Linked DNA regions of Anolis sagrei. The protein of the gene in region 2 binds, or shares a complex with, the protein of the main gene of each other region. Links are inferred from orthologs where the notes say so. Each region holds a gene or a part of one and is shown on either strand. Other genes may lie near its edges.

Region 1 (3,753 bases), on a different chromosome or scaffold from region 2:
GTGGTGACCCCCCCCCCCCAGCCATAACATTATTTTCATTACTACTTTCATAACTGTAAATTTGTTACTGTTGTGAATCATAATGTAAATATCTGATATGCAGGATGTATTTTCATTCACTGGACAAATTTGGCACAAATACTCAATATGCCCATATTTAAATTCTGGTGAGGTTTTGGGGAAAGATTGATTTTAGAGTTGTAGTTGCTGGGGTTTATAGTTCACCTACAATCAAAGAGCATTCTGAACTCTCCCAGTGATGGAATTGAACCAAACTTGACACACAGAACTCCCATTACCAACAGAAAATACTGGAAGGGGTTGCAGGGCATTGACCTTGAGTTTTGGAGTTGTAGTTCACCTACATCCAGAGACTCAAGCTAGGATGGATCTGGACCAAACTTGCCAAAAATACTCAATATGCCCAAATGTGGACACTGGTGGAGTTTGGGGAAAATAGACGTTGACATTTGGGAGTTGTAGTTGCTGGGATTTGTAGTTCACCTACAAATCAAAGAGCATTCTGAACCGCATCAACGATAGAATTGGGCCAGACTTCCCACATAGAACCCCTATGACCAACAGAAAATACTGTGTTTTTCTGATAATCTTTGGCGACCCCTTTGACACCCTCTGGCGACCCCCCCCCCCCCCAGGGGTCCCGACCCCCAGGTTGAGAAACACTGCTCTAGAACATGGCCATATAGCCCGAAAAAAACCTACAACCCAATCTTTTCCTGTTCTTTCCGCCTTCTGCACATGAGTGCATTGGATGAAGGGCGGGTGCCACCACCGATAGGTCAGGTCTCCTTGTTCCTGCGGATCCATTCGAACTAAACAAGGCATCCTTTGCAGATGGGCCTCCTTTCCTCCTGAGACTTCTTCCAGAGGTGCTTCCTGCATGACGAGCATCCACCCACTAATGTCTTCCAGATGTGGAGAGGATGGCCGGCGGGAGGAGGGACACGTAGCTGTGGCCACTGTGGGTCTCTTCCAGGAACGGCCAGGAGCCCTTTAAGGGCCTGAGTGTAAGAGTGTGGTGGAGTGACCGCAGGGCATCATCCTGGCCTGAACATCCTGTCGGCCAGATAGGACTGCTGTCCAGCCGCCTTCTCCCCCTTTGCTGGCCTTCCCGCCCTTTGCTGGGCCAGCAGCCCAACAGTTAATCCAGGATCAGTACAGGCGACTTCCTTTCAGGCTTTGGAAGGAGCTCACTTTCCTTGTGACCGATTTGGGGAGAAGGAGGGAGAGGGAAGGAAAGGGGGAAGCAGCACAGGAAAGAGCCCACAGCGGAAGAGAAGGCGGGAGGCAGGGCTGCAGGAAGGGCTGGAAGGAAAGCAGCAGCTCCTGGGATGGGGCCCGCAAAGGTGAGTCGGCCCTGAAGCCCCCCTCCACTTTCCCCACTGCCCTTCCCCACCAGCATCCTTCCCTCTTTCTCTACCTCCCTTGGCAACCTTCCCTGGAAGAGAAGGAGGAGGTTCAGGCTACTCTCCACTCTGAACTATAATGACTGTATTATGCTAATCTAATGCGCCTCTTAATTTGAGCCAAAAAGTGAGCATTAGATTTGAGTCAGTAGAGTATTCCCCCTACCATTGCAACCCTCAAATAATCCTTGCCCTGGCCATTATGCACATACATCTTCATCACAGAGAGGGACTTTTTAGGTGTAGCCCAATACTTTTTTAATCATGCAAAGGAATTGTTTTTTGGGGATCGTCCTTGAAGAAGACATCCTTCCTATCTGTAAGGAGAGCTGTTCAACTGGGGAACTCACTGCCTCAGAGTCCAAAGGAGGTGCCTTCCTTTAAAAGAGTCTGGATAGCCTTAACAACTACAACATCATTTCTAGACTGCACTTCTCTCCCAAAAAGGGACTCAGGGCAGTTTACAGTACAAAAAACCCCCAAAAAAACAAAAAACCAGGCAAACATTCAATGACAAACAACCTCAGGAATAAAACCTTTTTAAATCAGGCATTTAAAGATGAAGATGTATAAGTTCTAGTCATGGGATGCTATGGTTTCTAACTTTGAATATATTTTGATAGCTTTTAACTGAATTTTTAAATGCTGATTGTGTTTAATTCTGTTTTAATGTTTGTATATTTCCATATAATGAATTCATGTCCCGGCATCGAATGTTTGCCATTGTATGTTGTGCTCCGCCCTGAATCCCCTTTGGGATGAAAAGGGCGGAATATAAATATTTTAAATAAATAAATAAATATTTTAAATTGGATACCATTGCTTTTATGCCAAGCCGCTTTGACTGGGGAGATAAAGCAGGTTATAAATATAAATATAAATATAATAATAATGCCATCAAAGCCAGAATTGAAAAGTCGGTGACAGATCCTAAATGTAGACTCTGCAAGGAAGCAGATGAAACAATAGATCACATCCTGAGCTGCTGCAAGAAGATCGCGCAGACAGACTACAAGCAGAGGCATAACACCATTGCTCAGATGATTAATTGAAAATTGTGCCACAAATACCATCTGCCTGCAACAAAGAACTGGTGGGATCCCAAGCCTGAAAAAATTACAGAGAATTAACATGCCAAACTCTTCTGGGACTTCCGAATTCAGACAGACAGAGTTCTGGAGCACAACACTCCTGACCTCACAATTGGTTTAAAAAACAAAGTATGGATAGTTGATGTCGCAATCCCAGGTGACAGCAGGGTTGAAGAGAAACAACAGGAAAAGCTGACACAATATGAGGATTTAAAGATTGAACTGCAAAGACTCTGGTACAAGCCAGTAAAGGTGGTCCCAGTAGTGATCGGCACACTGGGTGTAGTGCCTAAAGACCTTGGCCTGCACTTAAACACAATCAGTGCTGACAAAATTACCAGCTGCCAGCTGCAGAATGCCACCGTACTGGGATCTGCACCCATTATTCGCCGATACATCACACAGTCCTAGACACTTGGGAAGTGTCCGACATGTGATCCAATTCAACAGCCAGCAGAGTGTCTGCTGGGGACTCATCTTGTTATGTTTCAAATAATAATAATAATAATAATAATAATAATAATAATAATAATTCTCACATTTCTGATCTGCTCCTGAATTGGAAACTGGAATTGGAAACTGCTCCTGAATTGGAAACTATCTTTATGTGGGTTCTTTCAAAGTCTGAATGGGAGTACTGCATTGACTGGAGTCTCATGTGCCATCGAATCTAAGGCACAACTCCATTTCCAAAACCCTGAAACAAAAACAAAAAAGTATTTTCTGCCAAATGTCATGTGCAAAAGGCAGCCAAAAGTGCCCTCTTTGTAATTTGGCCAAAAAAGGTGTGCATTATAGTGGCTGCCTGCTTTGAAATCCTTCTTTAAAAACAAAAGTGTTAAGAGGACCAAAGATTATGGGAGCAGCCAAAGAATGCTGGTGCCTCACCAAACTACAAATCCCAGCATTGCATAGCATGGAGCCATGGCAATTCAATTAGAGAAGATATCCCTTAGATTAGAGAACAGCTCCTGAAGTAGCTTCTCTTTTTGCTTTGGTTCAACACTAAGATTACCATATTATGTGAATCTAACACACACTCTAATTTTTGGGAAGGTCAATTAGCCCCAAAAGATGAGCATTAGATTTGAGTCAATACAGTCTTGGGAGAGAATGGCCAGGGATACTGGGGCTGCTCATCCAGGAAAGCAATTGCTCCCGGTGCAGGCTGTTCCCATCTGTGGGCCATCTGAAAGGTCCTTTTGGGCAGGCGCCAGTGCGTTTTCCAAGGACAT
Region 2 (3,753 bases):
TCTGAATTTGCATGTAAAGTCTTCATCAAATGGTCTTCAGGCTGTTTCCATGTACTTAGGAAATAGCCCCATGGGAGTCCCATGGAGGGCACTTCTGGTGGGACTCTGCGGGTTTCCATTTCCTAAGCACATGGACATGGAGCCTAGCAGCCATCTTCAGGACTATAAGCTGCAGATTGTGGGAGAAAGCAGGGGAAAGGCACAGCAAGTACACAGGATGGCTGGTCATGCCAGAAGATGGGGAAAGATAAAAAGATATGGAATAAGTTGGTTCCCTCTGCTTGAGATCCTAAGTTGGAGCATGTGCATTTTAAGTGTATTTTAAAGTTTTGGATAGCTTAGGAGAGGGTTAACACCCCTGTAATGTCTGTTTTGCTGTCAGCTAAAGCTTCACCTCACCTTTTGTCCCTTTGACAACTGGATTTTGAGATGTTTGGTTTGTCCTGGAAACAAGGATTGTTGAGAAAGTGTCAGTGGAGGCACGTTTTTCTAAATGATAACTCTTCCAGGAGTGAATTTCTCTTCCTAGGGGTAGATTTCCACTCACTTCCTGTAGTCTCACACCTGTTTGCAACTAGGAGTCTTAGGTAAGACAGATGTTTGCAACTTGAGGATTGCCTGTAAATGTATATCCATAGAAGCTTCATTCCATGCAGCTGATGAGGTTGTCTGAGTTGACAAAAGCTTGTGCTACAAGCTGCTTTCTAGTTAGTTTCAAAAGTGCTACAGGAATCCTTTGTCTCTTTTCAAGTTGATACAGACCAACAACACAGATTGTTGTGTGCTACATACTTGCTACATCTCTAGGGAAAAGCCTGTTCATGTTGATTTTCCAAGCACTCTGGATAGTGCTGGATTTTAAAGCATGTGGCAATCTAATGCACATGGTTTCCTGACCAGATATCTGTGTATCCACTGGGAAGGAGCTGTGTAAGTAAATATTTCAGTTTACCAAACCATTACATCAGGCTTGATGAAAAAGAGCATATACACTTAGAGGAGCCTATGTTTTCAGGTGGCATGATGTAACTATATTAACAAAAGTGGCAATAGTCAAACAGGAGCATATGATGTTCACTTGCCTGAATTCACTGTTCCAGAAAAGCAACACAGCAAGAAAAGGAGTCTGTTAAAAGAGCCAAAACTGTGCTGTCAGTTTTATCTATCACCCCTACCCACCCATCATAATAATAATAATAATAATAATAATAATAATAATAATAATAATACAAAGTATGGATTGTCGATGTTGCAATCCCAGGTGACAGCAGGATTGAAAAGAAACAACTGGAAAAGCTGACACGATATGAGAATTTAAAGATCGAACTGCAAAGACTCTGGCGCAAACTAGTAAAGGTGGTCCCAGTGGTGATCGGCACACTGGGTGCAGTGCCTAAAGACCTTGGCCTGCACTTAAACACAATCGGCACTGACAAAATTACCATCTGCCAGCTGCAAAAGGCTACCTTACTGGGATCTGCATGCATTATTCGCCAATTCATCACACAGTCCTAGACACTTGGGAAGGATTTTTAGATGTGATCCAATGCAACAGCCAGCAGAGTGCCTGCTGTGGACTGATCTTGTTGTGTTAATAATAATAATAATAATAACAACAACAACAACAACTTTATTTTTGTATTCCATCTCCCCAAAGGGGAGGGATACAAATGCAGCTTACATGGGAACAAGCCCGAGATTCAACATAGTTAAGATATAACAACAAAATTCATAAAAACATTTCAAACAATATAAAACAACCACAGAATACAATACACAGTGAATATCTAGCAACCTTCAATAGTCTGAATAGTGCACAGTACTGAGTTTGAGCGGGTGACTGGTGCAAAAACTGCATTACACAAACACTGAACTCAATTGAGCATTCTGGACTGAGTTAAGCAAGTGTAGAACTGCACTCTTAATCTTTGTAATAATCATAATCATCATCATCATCATCATCATCTTTATTTATATCCCGCCCCTTCTCCGAAAGGACTTGGCGTGGCTTACAACAAATAAATATAAAATCAAGCAAGAATAAATACATAATACATAACATCAAAATTTTTAAAAAATCACTAACTAAACTAACAATATCATAATGACATACACATATTACATTTAACAGGATTGAAAACATATTGTGCACCAGGGCAAAACCAGTTCAGACCAGTTGATGTTTGTACAGCCTTTCCCATTCCATTTTGAAACAATGACTTGCCAAAGATTCAGGTTGACCCTGCTTCCCCGTTAGTACCCCCATTCCACCTTCTCCGCATTGGGCTTAATAATTTCACAGAAAGTGTTTATGATCCTTTCAAATTAAACAAGAATAATAATCTGGGTCCAGATTATTATTCTTGTTTAATTACCTCCTCCTCGCATATATTCACAAATGATGCAACCCAAGCACCGTTAGAACAAAACTAGGGGAATCCTTGGATAGAGTTGATTTTTTCCCCATGTATGTGTATGTTGTCAAGTCACCTGCCAACTTACAGCCACTCCATGAACTTCATAGGATTTTCTTAGTCAAGGAATACCCAAACGTTGTTTTGTCAGTTCCTTCCACTGAAATAAAGCCTACCACACTTCGTATTAATTGTGACTTTTGCAAAATGTGGATTGTACAAATGATTGTAACCGTAAATGTTGACGATTAGCACATTGCACAAAAGTACCTTCACATTTCATTACATTTTTCATTTCCAAGCAAGCTAACTAATTAACTTTGTGTCTAGATGCTGAAGATACAAAATAAATCCATGTAGAAAATGGTCACTCACCTCTCAGAGACTTAATCTTTTGAGAAGAGGATCTTGCCTTGTTTCATGTGCTCAGGAACTGATCCCAAAAGAAAATTTGGATTCCTACTTATTTGTTTCCCCTTGATTGCCAAACCCAAGTTACACATTAGCTGTCCCCTCTGCTCTCTGACTTGGGTGCACAGTGTTCTGGGCTATGTGTTTTTCCATGTATTGGCAATCATTGCTGTTTCTTTTCCCAATGAGAAAAGCAAACACTGGTCTGGGAGATCATTTCATCAGTGTTTTCTTTGCTATCTCATCCAAGCCCTTGTTCCTTCTATGTTCTCACTCCCCTAAAATGGAGTTGGAGACCTCATCTTGCAATGTAAACAGCAAATTATATACAACATCAGTACAACATATCCATTATTTCCAGTACACCATTTGTGAATGGTAAACAGCTAACTGGAGAGATGGTAGTGAAAGAGGTTAGAAAGCTTGTGTTTCCAGATTATGTGGTTCTTCAAAAATTAGCATAGTCAATTTGCCCATCTTGGCTAATTCACAGATCTTCATTGGCTGTTAGATATGATGTGTGGGATCCATTTCAGGAACAACTTTTAGTTGGAATAAGCAGTTTCTTTCTATAAAGGTGCCCGATATATTCAAAACATAAATTTTGACTGATCAAATTCTGGCTCTAGATTTTAGATATTGAGACTAGGGTAGTTTTCATGCACAGGGACAGGAAACAGGAAAATGCATAGGATTTTTTTTTGTTCCAATCAGTAGTAACATCAAATGTTGCCCACCCACCCCCACCCCTAGTAAACATAAATTAGACTTATTAGGCTCAGTTTCCCTGAAGTTATGAATTGTGGTAAATCAATGAATATAATATGCAGTGCTGAATTTGGTATATTGTATGGAGAAAAGGTGAACACATCAAACACTTTATTAAAATTAAATACTGCAAGACTGTGCTGCATGTTGGATTTTGCAA
Region 3 (3,753 bases), on a different chromosome or scaffold from region 2:
GCTCTCACATAGACACTTCCATGTACAGAAGCTGGTTTGATCAATGATGATTCTTACTTGTATAATGGCTGCTGGCTAGATTAAGATGGGCAAATATAGTAGACCCTTAGTATTCACTGCTGTTTGGCTTCAAATTCCCCCATGAATACCATCATCCATGAACGCTCAGGTCTCATTATGTACAACGACATTGTAAAATTTATTTATTTATTTACTCTATTTACTCTATTTATTCCCTGCCCTTTCTACTCCAAAGGGGAGTCAGAGTGGCTCCTGCAAAACTTCTGCAAAAAGAGTGGCTCCTGCAAAACTTCTGCAACTCCTGCAAAAATTCAATGCTGCATCGTGCAAATAATAATGATGTTCCTTAGATAAAATGGCAAAATCAAGCTTTATTTTTGGATATATATATAAGCTGTGTACAGTTGAATCAGTGGATGCAAAACCCATGGGTATGGAGAGTCAATTATATTCCTGTTTGCCTCTTCCCTGCTCATTGAAGCAGCTCAGTGATCTGACTCCCTCTGTCCAATTACCATTTCTCTAATTGTCTGGAACACATATATTTAGGGAAATGCACTGATTCCATAACTATTCCAAAATAAGAATTGTCCGGTTCTACATCCTCCTTAATAAAGATCAGAATTATCCCCCGGGCAAAAACCTCTACGTTGATAAACAGTCCAACCATATTGCCTCCAGTCTTCATTATAAATTTAATGATTATACACCTCAGTTCAAAAGAAAGCCAATAAAATCCATAGTCCAAGTATGAACGCAGAGATTCCCCTTTCCCATCCCTGCCAGAAATACTATTACATGAAAGGAACAAGATTGGCCTACTTAGGGTTTTTTTTTAAAAAAAAACAAAAAACAAAAAACTTCTCCAACATGCTAAAGAGGGTTCTTGGTTTGCCTCACCGAGTTACGCACATTGAATGAATCCCGTACATGTGAGATAGTGAGTGTGCATAAACACACAACCAATATGCCCTTTGCCAGGAAGCAAGGTCAAAGTGGCTGACTACCTCAAAAGTGTTTAAAGATTTATTACCTCCTTCTACCAATCAAAATAGTACAAACACAAGCCAGTCACATAAAGTTTTGCTATAAAAGCCCACTGGACCTGGCTCCTTGTTTCACACAAAAAGAAAACACAGATTAGAAGAGAAGTTTTTTTTTTACCAAAACCAGTCATATAATGCAGCTGTCCTGGGCCTTTGCAGTAGTTACCTGCTGCTTCTTGTCATTTTCCAGTGATGCTTTCCAAAGGTAAGACAATATTTTTAAAAAATCAAGAGTGGGCATGTTGATGGGAAATGTGTGCCTTCAGATGTTCTTGGGTTGCAGATACCAATAAAATTACATTAATTGAGGCATCAGTAGGTTAACTGTTTTTAATATTTACATAAAACTGTAATTTAAGATAAGACTGTATTAACTCTGATTAAATGCCTTCTTCAATATAAACGTGCTTACATATTCTTCCAATAATCACCAAAGTTTATTTTAACTATACATTTTGGGGGAAATGCTGTGTGTATATGAATAAGGAAAAGTGGGAAAGACTGGCACTGGGAGAGGAGGAGAGGAAGGCGCACGCTACACCGAGAGAGGAGAGGAAGGAGAGATGGGTTGCTGTGTGGAAAGGCGAGGATCCTGGCAGGAAGGCATGGGGCTGAAAAAAGCCCTTCTTTCAGCACCACACCTTCCTGCCAGGACCCTCACCCAAGTATAAGCTGAGAGGGGCTTAAACCTACCTGTTGAGGAATTAGAAATCTCCTGCTGCATCTATTAGGCAATAAGCTTGGGATGGCAGAATATGGGATCCTATCTAGCCATAAGCTAAGGTTGGTTCTCTGCCACTGAGAAGTGAAAAAGATATGAATGCATCTGGCCTGGGCATGTCCCTGAAGGGTTTTATCCCCAAGACAGACGGCATTGTTGGACTGCATCTCCCAACAGCCCCAGCCCACATAAGCCTATGGTGAAGCATTTAGAGGCTGAAATTCAACAAGGCAGTGCAATTTCCATTGTTCTAAAGGGGTTGCTCAAAACTGAAGAAGACAGGCATGTAGGCTTTGCCTTTTAATCAAATGCATCCATCCCAGTGCCAGCTGCTCCACAAAGCAGGTACAAAAGAAAGGCAGCACAACAACAGAGACCCAAATAGCATCTGGCAAAAAGGACATGCAAAACTGAACATAAAAAGTGGAGATTGAGGAAGAAGTGGGTTGTGACACTCAGGAAGAGCATACATGGGATAAAATATACCTATTGAGATTTTTTAAATGAGGTATTATTTCCTTTATCATTGGGAAAATAATCTAGAAATCATCCAAAATGTAAATACAGTGAAACACCTAACACAGTGAAGCACAGAAGACAGACAGAACCCACGTGTCTATTTAAACAATTTCCGTTGCCTTTCAAATCAAATATTCTAAATTTATATATGAAAAAGGTTTAGAGGACTTGCCAGACCATTGCAAGTATTTGCTGCCACCTAGTGCAATAGAGTGCTGTGTACAAAGCTAAGTCAGTTACAATGTGTTTATCAGCTGTTTGCAAAAGTCTACGCTTGTAGCAATGGTTATTAGGGCTGGGCGGTTTCGTTTCGTTAATTCGTAATTCGTTAATAATTCGTTAATTTTTTCAATTACAAAACGATAACGAACCATTCTGGAGCAATTATTAAAAAAAACGAATTTTCAAAAACGTTTTGTAAATGCTTTGTATTTCGATATTGTATTCATTTCGTTATTGTTTTGAGGTCGTTTCGTTATTATTTCCGCATGTCTGGGCCAGTTTTATGGTTTAATTAGTGAAAAAAAATTATAATATCACACCAACAGTCAACAACAGAGGGAGAGGGAAGCTTCAGAAGGTTTTGGAGGTTTTTTAGCGTATTTCGCGGTCGCGTCCGCCATTAACGAATCGATTCGTTATTGTTTCGGAAATCATTCGTTAATTTTTTACCATTTACGAAATTTCGTAAATATCGAACTTTTTAAAAGGAAAATTTTGTAATTATTTTAAATATCGAAACAAAAAAAAACCCCAAATACAAATCGATTTTAGAAACAAATTTTTCCGTTGTTACCCAGGCCTAATGGTTATAAATGGCCCTGGACTGTAATTTCCATCAGCCTGGCTTTACCAGAATCTGTTCTTACTCCAGAACTCAGCTTAATAAGGATTTTTCAAGAGAGGGAGAAATATCCACTGTAGGTTTGCATGTGAATAACAACATTTCAGATATCCTAACAGTCCATATTAAACTGAGGTGCTATATTTTCCTCTATTCATACCTCATTTTCAGTTTTAGGTAATTTTCTTTGTTACACAGTGACTACTTGGGATATAAAGCTAAATCATAGTTTATTACATGAAAGCAGTGTTTTGACATGCATTAGCTACTGTTTCTCATGCTATCCAAATCTAAAGAAACTGTGGCTCTCTGGTGGAATCAAACTGGTTTGTTTCCTTAATCATAATTCAAATCAGCTGCAATAGAGGTTTCTGAGATTGTGTTAAACTCTCTTTCATCAGATGTAGAAATGGGAGTTTTTAGTCTCCTCATCACAACCACACTAGAGGATTAGGTACACATGGAGGATCAACTTTTTAGGAACCACTGATCTAGACCTTAAAGTGAGCTATTGAATACTATTTGCAAAAAATAATTAGCATGTTAGATAATCTCTTTGAAGTTTAGACTTGAACCTGAAGCAAATCATTTGCCCTGTTCAC

The links. Proteins that work in one complex are often made in the same cells at the same time.
Region 1: the proteins of AGT (region 2) and ANPEP are in contact, whole or in part, in a crystal structure (PDB 4FYS), measured with the Homo sapiens proteins. The link is inferred for Anolis sagrei from reciprocal best matches to the Homo sapiens genes AGT and ANPEP. Residues at the interface, in NP_001369746.2 of Homo sapiens: Val27, Tyr28, Ile29, His30, Pro31, Phe32; in NP_001141.2 of Homo sapiens: Gln211, Gln213, Ala351, Gly352, Ala353, Met354, Glu355, Arg381, Val385, His388, Glu389, His392, Glu411, Glu418, Asn438, Arg442, Phe472, Tyr477, Ile864, Phe896, Ser897, Asn900, Gln903, Ala904, Arg907.
Region 3: the proteins of AGT (region 2) and REN are in contact, whole or in part, in a crystal structure (PDB 6I3F), measured with the Homo sapiens proteins. The link is inferred for Anolis sagrei from reciprocal best matches to the Homo sapiens genes AGT and REN. Residues at the interface, in NP_001369746.2 of Homo sapiens: Asp25, Tyr28, Ile29, His30, Pro31, Phe32, His33, Leu34, Val35, Ile36, His37, Asn38, Glu39, Lys91, Leu92, Ala95, Met96, Met99, Leu100, Phe103, Arg107, Arg148, Ala151, Ile152, Gly154, Gln353, Gln354, Asn355, Asn358, Glu391; in NP_000528.1 of Homo sapiens: Tyr81, Met82, Thr84, Gln85, Val102, Asp104, Gly106, Ser107, Asn109, Ser118, Arg119, Leu120, Tyr121, Thr122, Val125, Tyr126, Leu147, Arg148, Tyr149, Ser150, Pro181, Ala182, Leu183, Pro184, Met186, Leu187, Ala188, Glu189, Phe190, Val193.

What each region holds. Positions count from the first base shown.
Region 1 is NC_090029.1:22,903,419-22,907,171, forward strand, and holds the start of ANPEP (aminopeptidase N), read left to right. Parts: upstream 1-937; 5' UTR 938-1,367; intron 1,368-3,753. UniProt on the Homo sapiens protein: Broad specificity aminopeptidase which plays a role in the final digestion of peptides generated from hydrolysis of proteins by gastric and pancreatic proteases.
Region 2 is NC_090021.1:61,835,712-61,839,464, forward strand, and holds the start of AGT (angiotensinogen), read right to left. Parts: upstream 2,935-3,753; 5' UTR 2,790-2,934; intron 1,127-2,789; exon of another isoform or gene 1,083-1,126; intron 1-1,082. UniProt on the Homo sapiens protein: Essential component of the renin-angiotensin system (RAS), a potent regulator of blood pressure, body fluid and electrolyte homeostasis.
Region 3 is NC_090024.1:192,428,300-192,432,052, reverse strand, and holds the start of REN (renin), read left to right. Parts: upstream 1-1,201; coding exon 1,202-1,272; intron 1,273-3,753. UniProt on the Homo sapiens protein: Renin is a highly specific endopeptidase, whose only known function is to generate angiotensin I from angiotensinogen in the plasma, initiating a cascade of reactions that produce an elevation of blood pressure and increased sodium retention by the kidney.